3 linked regions of the Macaca fascicularis genome follow. The protein of the gene in region 1 interacts with the protein of each later gene in a biochemical or structural test. Links are inferred from orthologs where the notes say so. Each region holds a gene or a part of one and is shown on either strand. Other genes may lie near its edges. The genes, in order: NFKB2, BTRC and BCL3.

Region 1 (2,885 bases):
ACCGCGCCGGACGCGGTGTCCGGGGCAGGGCAGGGCTGGGGCCTGGGCCTCAGGAGCCTAGGCTAGGGGCACGTCCGAGAGCCCCTTTTTGTGATAATGTTTTGCACTTTTTCGTACAGGGTGGGCGGGGGTGGGAGGGGCTAGCGCCCCTGAACTTTTGATGCTTTTTTTTTGTGTGGGAGAGGCCTGATGCCATTTCTGCTTTCTGCTGAGACCACCCCACCCTGACACCAGCAGTCCCCCCTCTGTCCTGGGGCCTGGCTTGGACAGAGACCAGGATTTGGGGCTGAGCTGGTTTCCCCTCCTTCCTCCCCAAGGGCTCACCCTCTCTCTTGCTGGAGGTGGAGGAAGGGCGTCCATGCCAAGGCCCCATACCTGGGCCGGGGGCAGCACGACCTGGCTTTCCCCGCTTCAGTGGGCCTTGCCCTTTGTACAGCCTCCACCCCCATTAAAATTGCTCTGGACTTGCTGGCTGGGCCTCATCCTTCTCTTCTCACCATGCCTGGCGTGTGGGCAGGATGGGTAGCTGGTTCCAGGGACAAGAGTCACATCAGGGGCTGCCATAAGTTGGGAAGGAGGGGTCCTCCCCTTCCCATGAGAATCCTTTATTTGTCCCAACTGAGGGGTGGGTGTGGGGTGTTAAATAAGATTTGAAATAGGTGGGGACACTGTACAGGGGGTGCAGGAAGGGGGGTGGTGGCGGGCAGCAAGTCAGTGCACCTGAGGCTGGGGGTGCCCGTGGCAGAGCCCTCCTGGCGGCTCAGGGGGTGGGCCCAGCTTCTCTGCCTCCTGCTCCACTGACTGGCTCCCGTATGCACTGTCTTCCTTCACCTCTGCTGGGGGTAAATGGGGACAGGAATGGGATAGTCAAGGACTCAGGCCTCCCACCCTCCAAGCCCAGATCCCCCTTCCAGGGATGCCCCTTTACCTGTGCTGGGCAGCTTGTCTCGGGTCTCTGGACCCCTCAGCAGCCTCACTCCCTCCTCTAGGCCCATATCAGACAGGGCCTCCAGCAGACCTGCCATGTCTCCGCCAGCCAGCTAAAAAAAAACAGCGGGATGAGGTCTGAGTCATGGTTAGGGTGTATGCTTGGAAGCCCTGGGGCCAAGGAGGCACCTGGACTCAGATCGGGAAAGGAGGATGGGGAGGGGGCAGGGCGAAGGCCAACCCACCTCATAGCTGCGCAGGAGGCTGCCGCTGGGCGAGGCCGTCTGTCGGTACGTGTCCACCAGGCTGCGCAGCCCCAGACGCTCTGCCAGCTCTGCCCAGCTGCCCTGGGCTTCTGGCCCGTCTAGCAGCTGCTCCAGGTTCTGCAGAGCTGTATCACCAAGTGACAGTCCCGGCCCTGAGGGGGACACACAGACATGTCATTTACCTCCAGAGTTGGGTGGGGACATGGACACCTGAACACTGCCTTTCTCCCAAGGTAAGCGACAGACAGGACCACGAGGGGTGATGGATGGGGCTGAAGGTAGAGAAAGGGAGGCCTCTTTCAGAGGGTCCTGAAGGAGAAGAATTTCTGTTTGAGGAATTGGGCTGGGGATGCTTGATGCTCCTCACCTGCAGGGCTGGGCGGGGTCAGGGGTGGCTCCATGGTACTCTGAGCGGCATTTATCAGCAAGGTCTTCACCTGGGGAGACAGCCGCCGCTCTGACTACCTCCCACCTCGTCCTTAAGCCCGTGTCTTTAAGTCCAGATACTCTGGACCCCGTCACTCAGAGCGCTTCTAGTTCCAGGCTGGCCTCACCTTGGTGCTGCAAGTGAGGTCAAGAGGCGTGTGGCCCCGGAAGCTGCTTCGGGTGTCCTTCTCAGGCCCTTCAGTGTCCGAGTCGCTATCAGAGGTAGGGGGTGAAGGCAGCGGGCACAGGGGCTCCTCGTTTTCAGCATGGATGTCAGCACCTGGGAGAGGGAGGCCGTCATGGGGAGGTTTGGTGGGGGCCCACATTAAGGACTGCAAAGTGGGAGGACTGGGAGGCACCTCTTTCCCTTCCCCTCACCCTGTTCAAGTGCCCCTGAGGGTGAGACTGACCAGCCTTCAGAAGGAGGCGGGTGAGGGTCGGGTACCCCAGTCCAGCTGCCAGGTGCAGGGGTGTGTTTCCCGCAAAGGTGCGAGCATTCACGTTGGCCCGGAGCTGGGGGTGCGAGCGGCAAGGGTTGACACCACAGCATGGTCCCCCTAGCCAGCCCCCGCTTCACCGTCTTTGGCCCCTCCACCACCCGTGGTCCCACTCCTTCCACAATCCTCAGTCCCACCTTGGTGACCAGATGGGTGACCAACCCCAGTTCCTCCATCTCGGTGGCTAGATGCAAGGCTGTTCGCCCCCCTTGCCGTTCTGTGGCCTCCACTTCAGCCCCACTGTCCACCAGCAGATCCAGGCACTCAGGGCTTCGGGCTCGGACCGCCAGGTGTACTGGATACAATCCTAAGGATACAGGATACTCAACCTGCAGCTATGACCCTTAAGGCGGTCCTTGGGCCAGCCCTGACCATTCAACCTTGACACCTCATAGTCCAATCTGCACACTGGTCAGACACCCTCCCTGGTCCCCACCTGCCCCCTAGTCAGGTGAGATGGGGAGCTCACCCTCAAAGTCAGGCATATGCAACAGCTGGGGCACAGCAGGAGCTCCACTCTGAAGCAGTGCACGCAGCAGCTCAGGGGCACCAGCGCCTGCCCGCAGCGCCAGATGCATGGCTGAGTCTCCATGCCGATCCAGCAGAGCTGGGTCTGCACCCACCCGCAGCAGAAAGCTCACCACACTCGTCTGCCTGGTGATCACCGCCAGGTGCAGGGGCGTCTGGGGATGAAAGCAGGGTGAGCCAGGCCCGAGACCCACCTGCCTTCCAACCCCTCCCACCTCCCCAGTAGGCGCCCCCGCACCTG
Region 2 (3,647 bases), about 890 kb from region 1:
CACTAAAGGCAGGGCTTGCTGACATGCTCAGGGCTGTGGTGTTCAAGCAGAGTGACTCTGATGTCTTTAGGCTGAGAGTGACCACGGTTGGCATAGCTTTCACCTGCCCTGTAGAATGGCAGGGCAGGGGTCGGGGATGGTCTGTGGGCCCTGCCTTTGAGTGGCCATGAGCATGGTGGTGCCACTAACAGAAGTGGGGGAATCAAGGAAAGCTGGCCCGGCTGTGTGGCTGGAGGGTACCAGCAGTGTAAAGGAGGGGACAGTGTAGTTGAGGATGTGAGCACTAGAAGTGCTCTTGCTATCTTCAAGGACAGCTGTGTGGATGGCAGCTGGAAATGTGGCCTGGAGATTAAAGCAGAGGCTTGGACTGGAGACAGAAATTTGAGTCTTCTACATTGAGATGAGATCTGAAGCTTTGGGAAGAGAGAAGGCAGCCTAAGAAGGAACTTAGATAAGGAAGAAAGAGAGGCCGGGCATGGTGGCTCACACCTGTAATCCCAATACTTTGGGAGGCCAAGGGAGGTGGATCACTTGAGCTCAGGTGTTTGAGACCAGCCTGGGCAACATGGTGAAACCCCATCTCTACAAAAAAAATACAAACAATTAGCTGGGTATGGTGTTGTGTGCCTGTTGTACTCAGGAGGCTGAGGCAGGAGAATCACTTGAGCCTGGGAGGTGGAGGTTGCAGTGAGCTGACATTGTGCCACTGCACTCCAGCTTGGGCGACAGGAGCGAAGCCCTGTCTCAAGAAATAAAATAGGCCAGGCGCGGTGGCTTGGCCTTGAGAGGCCGAGGCAGGTGAATCATGAGGTCAGGAGATCGAGACCATCCTGGCTAATATGGTGGAACCCCGTCTCTACTAAAAATACAAAAAATTAGCCTGGCACGGTGGCGGGCACCTGTAGTCCCAGCTATTCAGGAGGCTGAGGCAGGAGAATGGTGTGAACTCAGGTGGCAGAGCTTGCAGTGAGCCGAGATCGCGCCACTGCACTGCAGCCTGGGCGAAAGAGCGAGACTACGTCTCAAAAAAAAGAAATAAGATAAAATAAAAATAATAAGAAAAGCCAGAAACAGACTCTTAGGAGTGAGGGGGAAAGAGGCACAAATAATCAGAGAGCCAGGAAGAATATTAAAAATAGCAAAGTGTCACAGAAGTCTAAGGAAGAGAAAATTTTGGGCAAAAGGAGGGGGTAGGTATAGGGAGATTGCAGTATTAATACTAATGACCAGTTTTTCCTGAGGGCATGCTATGTATTCGGCACTGTGCTAAGCACTAGGAATTTTCCATACAGTATCTCCATGCAGCCTTCACAGGGCTCCATGAGGTGAGCAGTGCCCCTCGTGTTACTCATCAGGAGATTCAGGCTCTGGGAAGTTACTTGTCCAAGGGCACATAGCCTGTGCGACTTGGCTGAGGAACGATGAACCGTGTCCTCTGTGGGAGAAAGAGGTGCTGAGGCAAGCCCAGTTGGGCGTGAATCACTGCCCTCAGTGGAACACTGCAAAGAGAGATGCAGAAACGTGTAGCGAACATGTACTTCTGCCAGGAGAACTGAGGCAACGCTCCTCAGCAGCTAGGGCAGCCTTCTCAAACTGGCAACAACCTAGTGTATTCAAACTGGTCAGAACACCACGTATGATCTGAATATACCATAATATGTATGGACCACCTGGGTATTTTAGGATCTTCCCCTGCCTGAGAGAGAGTTTGGAGACTTGAGTGGGAGGACACATGGAGTTCTCACCAACGTCAGAGGTCAAAAGACAGGTCCTCTTTTTGGAGGGTTGAGGAATGGGGATAGGGATATAAAAGCTACTTTTTATATTCCTTTTAAAATCTGCCCTTTTATTTCTATGTCAGTGTGAACTTTCACCAAGAGATGTTTCCATTCACACATTAGACATCAGAGTGTCTACTTGGCTTGAAACGTCTCTATTGTAGGTATTGTGTGATCTGGGAACTTAAACATCACAGGCCTTTGGGTCATTACTTAGTTTTCAAACTGATTCAAATCTCATTTTATTTTCATAACAGTACTACTAGATAACTAGGGCAGGAATGACTAGGCTTACCACACACATAGGACCCTACAATCACCTAGAACTGAGGCTGGCTACCTTGGTGAAAGGCACTGTCCATACTGTGGCAGCTTCAGCCCTGTCTCACATTGTCTGCTTCCTCGGCTTTACAGGACTTGGTGACACAAATGGCAGGAGAAAGCTCCATGAACTAGCAATACCTTACAGCTAATATCCTGTCTCCTACCCACAGTGTTATGTACATAATAGATTTTGATACCTGGGCAAGTTTGAGGTCAGTATATGGTTATTTATCTGGAGATGTAGGTGTATGTTCGAGAAGGGGAACGGGGGGGTTCAGCTTGGGCAGCCGGATCATTTAGGAAGTCCCAGATGAGGATTGTGTCATCATGTGAACTACTGACAATCTGGAATTCATCAAACTGGAGTCGAAAAACTCTTCCGGAATGCTCCTAAAGAAGTAGAAACAAAAAGGGTAGGAACTTGAACTACTCAAAATCAATAGGACACAAATTTAGCAAGATGTCAAAAGGAGTCTACAGAAAGGCTATGGTTTGCTGTTAATTTTCTACCATGAAGTTGTTTTTTTAAAAAAAGAGAGAGGCCGGGTGCAGTGGCTCACGGCTGTAATCCCAGCACTTTGGGAGCCCGAGGCGGGCGGATCACGAGGTCAGGAGATCTAGACCATCCTGGCTAACACGGTGAAACCCCATCTCTACTAAAAATACAAAAAATTAGCTGGGCATGGTGGCACGTGCCTGTAGTCCCAGTTACTTGGGAAGCTGAGGCAGAAAAATTGCTTGAACCTGGGAGGCAGAGGTTGCAGTGAGCTGAGATCATGCCACTGCACTCCAGCCTAGGTAACAGAGTGAGGCTCTGTCTAAATAAATACATAAATAAATAAATTAAAAAAAAAGAAAATTTACTTTGGCTAAAGGCAGCATGGAAAAGTCAAATACTAGGCAGCTGTAAACAAAGTAATATTCTTTGGCCAAGACATGCTAAATAGCATGCTATTAATAGTTTCTCATGCCAACCCTTTTTGGCTTAGGGTGGATGACAGCATTCCTTACTACCTCCCTGGTTTTATCTTCTAAGTTCCTTCTATAATCAGAGGTCAAGGATTGGTGAGCAATAAGCAGTATGCTGATAAATGTTTATCAACCAACTTTGCTACTTTGTAAAACCACTGGTAGATTTCCACGGCATTAAAAACTCCTACCATGGCCAATTATAAGCTAGTAATAGTCAACCAGCTTGCAAAATTCATGAATAGTTGGCTCTCATAAGTGAGTATGAGCCTGTTCTAGCATACCACTGGCAGTTACCACTACCCTGATGAAGATGTAGAATGTTCCCAGCATACTGGAAAACAATCTCACACCCCTTACTAAACAATGTTATCTCCACTCCAATTTTATCATCATCATCATCTTTTTATTTTTTTTGAGACGGAGTCTTGCTCTGTTGCCCAGGCTAGAGTGCAGTGGCGTGATCTCCACTCACCGCAAGCTCTGCCTCCTGGGTTCATGCCATTCTCCTGCCTCAGACGTAGCTGGGACTACAGGCGCCCGCCACAACGCCTGGCTAATTTTTTGTATTTTTAG
Region 3 (4,167 bases), on another chromosome or scaffold:
AAACTGAGGCTCAGAGAGGGGAAGGGCCTTATTCAAGGTCACACAGCCTGTGGTAGAGACCGAGTTCTGACTCAGGTCCACGGGAGCTGAGTGGCCCTGTGTTATGGACAGCTGGTCTTCCCAACCACCCCTCCCCTTAATAGGGGACTATCACTCACGTGTCTCCGTCCTCATCTGCTCGGGTGGCCATGGCGATGTCAGCAGAAAGGGGGTGTTCCATGGGGCACATCATGGGGTACAGGGGTGTAGGCAGGTTCACCAGAGGAAACGGGGAGCCCATGGTCCGAGTGGGGTACAAAGGCAGTAAGGCTCCTAGGCAATGGAGGACAGAGGAGGGACATGGGTGAGGCCACACTCACAGACCCTCAACCTGCTCCCCACTTCTAGATCGCTCCCTACTTCTAGATCTTTGCTCCTGCAGTGTCACCTACCTTTTCTCCCAGGTCCCTTTTGCATCCTATACTGGGTCCTCAGGGCCTAAAACAAACCCCCTTCCACATCCCTCCTCTGGGCTCCGGCAGCTTCCTCTCCCTCCAGGGCTGGTCACCCTTATTGTCACTTATCTTCTGACCCCAATCTCCAATCAGACAAAGGGTCCCTTAAGAACAGAGGGCGCACCCATCATCACCTAGCAGGGAACCTGAGGGACTGTCTGCGGAGTGATTGTGTGGCTGATGAAGAGCTGGGTGCAGGGTGTGGGATAAATGTAGAGTGGGTTTGGAGAGAATGGAGGGAGAGAGGAGGTGTCACCAGAAGCCTGTTCAAACTGTTTTTGAGATGGAGTCTTGCTCTGTTGCCCAGACTGGAGTGCAGTGGCACGATCTTGCCTCACTGCAACCTCCGCCTCCCAGGTTCAAGCGATTCTCCTGCCTCAGCCTCCCAGGTAGCTGGAATTACAGATGCTCACCACCACATGTGGGTAATTTTAGATCAAACTGTTAAAAAAGGGGCCATGGCAGGCCGGGGGCAGTGGCTTGTGCCTCTAACACCAATACTTTGGGAGGCCGAGGCGGGTGGATCACCTGAGCTCAGGAGTTCAATACTAGTCTGTGCAACATGGTGAAACCCTGTCTCCACTAAAAATACAAAAATTAGCCAAGTGTGGTGGTGCATGCCTGTAATCCCAGCTACTCGGGAGGCCGAGGCACAAGAATTGCTTGAACTTGGGAGTCGGAGGTTGCAATGAGCTGAGATCACGCCAATGCACTTCAGTCTGGGTGACAGAGCAAAACTCTGTCTCAAAAAAACAAAACAAAGCAAAACAAAAACAAAAGGCGGGGGACCACAGCAGCAGGCAAATCTATACCAACCCATCACACAGACGGGGAAAACTGAGGCCTGCGTTCTTACTCTTGGAATGGGAAAGCTGGGAGGCCGTGGCAGAACTCCTGACGCATATAGCTTGAGGCTCTCCAGCTGTCACACTGATGGGGTGGGAGGTGCAGAAACTACCTAAAGTCTTGGGGCTCTGGAGAAGGGCTCTCTGCAGCTTTGGGGGTCAATTGGGGATGGTGACACGGCTACAGCTGTGCTAGGGGACACCCCTTCTTGAGATCAGGGATGGAGATGGGTTGGAGGGAAAAGTGTGCTGTCTTTGTCCTCTGCTGATCCTTGTGGGTCCTCTGTTCTTGAACTCTCAAGTTTCCAGGTCCCCGTATCTCCAATACCAGGCCTTGGGGCCCTGAGGCTTTCTGTCTGGAGACCCCTGAATCTTTCATCCTGCCTCTAAATTACCCAGAGTCTCAGAATTACCCAATCTTAGGATCCTCAGTCCCCCGATCCCCTCCGGCCCACCTGATCTTGACCTCAAATAGGACCCTGATCGCTCGTGGTCCCACATAACTGAGTACCCAGAACCCCGGGTCTCTGTTCCCCTGGGTCCTCAAGACCCCCTGGTATCTGGGTCCCTGGAGCTCTGGTTCATTCCCTTGGATCCTTGTGATCCCAGGTATTGGGGTGCTCAGAACCCCATCTCTGTTTTCATAATGCCCATGTCTCCAGATATCTTGGGTTCCTGAGATTGTGACATCCTGAGATCCTCAGTATCTGTCTCCTTAGAACCCCAGTCTCTGTTACCCTGACTTCCTTTGATTCTAATAGCAGGATACAAGGAACCCCAGTTTCTCCAGCCCAGCTCAGCTTCCTCATAACCCTACACATCTGGTTTAAAAGCTTGTACTTTTTTGTCCCCAGGACACCAGGCTCTGTGTCCTGATTCCTTGACACCCCCATATTTGTACCAGTGGGCATTGTCCCTGGCCCCCCCATGTCACTCAGCCCTTGGGCTCTGCCCCCCAGGGTCCCCAAACCCCCAGATGCCTGTGTCCCAAGGCACAGCTTACTGGCTCCCTGATGATCTCCTATCTGTATCCCTGGAACCTGGGGTTACATCCTCTTGTCCCCCAGGTTCCTGGAGATAGACGGGTTTGTGCCTCCAGCTGTGTCTCCTGGCTCTGGTGACCCTATGCTCTGTGTGGCTCCTACCAGGCCCAGACCCTCGGGGGGCCACTCACCCGGGTAGTACAGCGCCTCCGGCCTGGCCAGGCCGTGGGGGGGCCCGGGGACCGCCGGCAGGTCGCAGCCGCCGCGCAGGGGGTCCAGGGGGACAACAAGGCCCGCAGCGCCGCGGGGAGCGGCGGGCTCCGGGGAGGGCGCGCGCAGCGGGCGCTTGCGGAGCGGCAGTGCGGCGCCCGGGAGTCCGGCGGCCTTGGGTCGGGTGCGCAGGTCCACGGGCCCCTCGTCCATGGCCCCCGCGGGGCATCGGGGCATGGGGCCGCCGGGGACGGCGGCCGGAGAGCTGCTGGGCTCGGCTGCACGGGAGGGTGGTTTCGCCGGGCGCCGGGACTTCCCCTGCAGCCGGCTGAACTGAAGGGACTTTTGTCGGCCGGGGCGGTGCCGGCCGCCCGCCTCCCCGCCCCCGGCCCCCCCCGGGGCCACCCGTACGCCCCAGGGGTTTCCTGGACCCGCCGCTGCTCCCGCCGCTCTGCGGTGCAGCCTGCTGTGCGCCCCGCCCGCGCCGCGCCCCGCTTGCCCCCTCCCGGCCCGCGGCGCCCCGGGCAGCCAGGCCTTGGCGGGGGAGTGGGAGGAAAGGAGGGGTGGGGAGAGAGGAGGCGGGGTCGGAGGGTGGGGGGGTGTCCCTACCCCTGCTGCCAAGGGCCGCTCTCAGTCTCTCTGCCTCTGTTTTTATCTTTCTGGCTCTATCTCTCAGCCTCTCTATCGCTGAGTCTGTAACTGTCTCTCTGGTTCTCCTGTCTGAGTAGGTGTTTCTCTTCGCACCCCCGCGTTTGTCTCTGTATGCTCTGTTCGGTCTCTGTCTCTCTCTTTTGTCTCTTTGTGTCTGTCACCATCTCTCTGTCAGTTGCTGTCTGCTTCTCTGCCTCTCAGGAGGCCTTGGCATCTCTGGGACGCAGGTTCGAATCTCGGTTCCCACTTCCTCGCTGGGTGACCTTGGTCAAACACTTCCCCTCTCTGAGCCGTTTCCTCCTTAGTGGGAGTGAAGAGACGCACCCGGGGCAAGGACTGGCACTCGGCAGGCGGCCAGGAACGATTCCTCTCCCTCCTCTCTTCCATTTCTGCCACTCCACGTGCCTCTTCGGCTGTGGGTCTAAAGGGGCTGGGGGTGGGGTGAGGGTGGGGAGCGCTCTACTGATTGTGTCTCTGTCCGCGTTGGGGGCCCTGCACCCAGCCAGGGCCCCCAGGGCACCGGGGTGGGTGCTCGGAAAATCCTAGGTGCACAGAGAGAAAGAGACATGGAGACAGGCGCAGAGATCTTGAGAGAAAGAGAGATAGCAAGAGACACAGACGCCAGGCCAGAGTCAGCGCGACCGAGGCCGGTGCTGCAGGAGAGGGGAGCAGTTTGGCTTCCCCCTTACTTCCCCTCCCACCGCGAAGAGGGGTTGATGGGTGGGGAACAAGCCAGGCGGGTTGGGGGCATGACTCAGGCAGGAGATGGGAGGGAAGGAGGGGGGAGGCGGGACTCTTCCCGGTCTCCTCCCCTTCTCTGCCTCTCCCCGCCCCGGGGTGGGGCCCCGAAGGTCCGGGGCTTTCCCGGATTTCCCTGGGGGCGGGGCAGCCGCTGGGGTTGAGTCCGGGTCACTGAGTCACAGGAGGCGGAGAGGGAGGCTTTGGGCACACAGAGGGCGGGGCATGGTGGCTGCACCCCAGACC

What was found.
Region 2: of the proteins of NFKB2 (region 1) and BTRC, one has a biochemical effect on the other in vitro, tested with the Homo sapiens proteins (2 studies listed by BioGRID, with this or other methods). The link is inferred for Macaca fascicularis from reciprocal best matches to the Homo sapiens genes NFKB2 and BTRC.
Region 3: the proteins of NFKB2 (region 1) and BCL3 form a complex in vitro, tested with the Homo sapiens proteins (2 studies listed by BioGRID). The link is inferred for Macaca fascicularis from reciprocal best matches to the Homo sapiens genes NFKB2 and BCL3.

What each region holds. Positions count from the first base shown.
Region 1 is NC_088383.1:111,409,716-111,412,600, reverse strand, and holds the end of NFKB2 (nuclear factor NF-kappa-B p100 subunit), read right to left. Parts: coding exon 2,883-2,885; intron 2,800-2,882; coding exon 2,586-2,799; intron 2,424-2,585; coding exon 2,254-2,423; intron 2,133-2,253; coding exon 2,030-2,132; intron 1,900-2,029; coding exon 1,748-1,899; intron 1,631-1,747; coding exon 1,561-1,630; intron 1,346-1,560; coding exon 1,173-1,345; intron 1,041-1,172; coding exon 929-1,040; intron 837-928; coding exon 712-836; 3' UTR 564-711; downstream 1-563. UniProt on the Homo sapiens protein: NF-kappa-B is a pleiotropic transcription factor present in almost all cell types and is the endpoint of a series of signal transduction events that are initiated by a vast array of stimuli related to many biological processes such as inflammation, immunity, differentiation, cell growth, tumorigenesis and apoptosis.
Region 2 is NC_088383.1:110,523,405-110,527,051, reverse strand, and holds part of BTRC (F-box/WD repeat-containing protein 1A), read right to left. Parts: intron 2,493-3,647; coding exon 2,331-2,492; 3' UTR 2,300-2,330; intron 1-2,299. UniProt on the Homo sapiens protein: Substrate recognition component of a SCF (SKP1-CUL1-F-box protein) E3 ubiquitin-protein ligase complex which mediates the ubiquitination and subsequent proteasomal degradation of target proteins. Recognizes and binds to phosphorylated target proteins.
Region 3 is NC_088393.1:52,781,838-52,786,004, reverse strand, and holds the start of BCL3 (B-cell lymphoma 3 protein), read right to left. Parts: upstream 2,853-4,167; 5' UTR 2,770-2,852; coding exon 2,514-2,769; intron 313-2,513; coding exon 159-312; intron 1-158. UniProt on the Homo sapiens protein: Contributes to the regulation of transcriptional activation of NF-kappa-B target genes. In the cytoplasm, inhibits the nuclear translocation of the NF-kappa-B p50 subunit.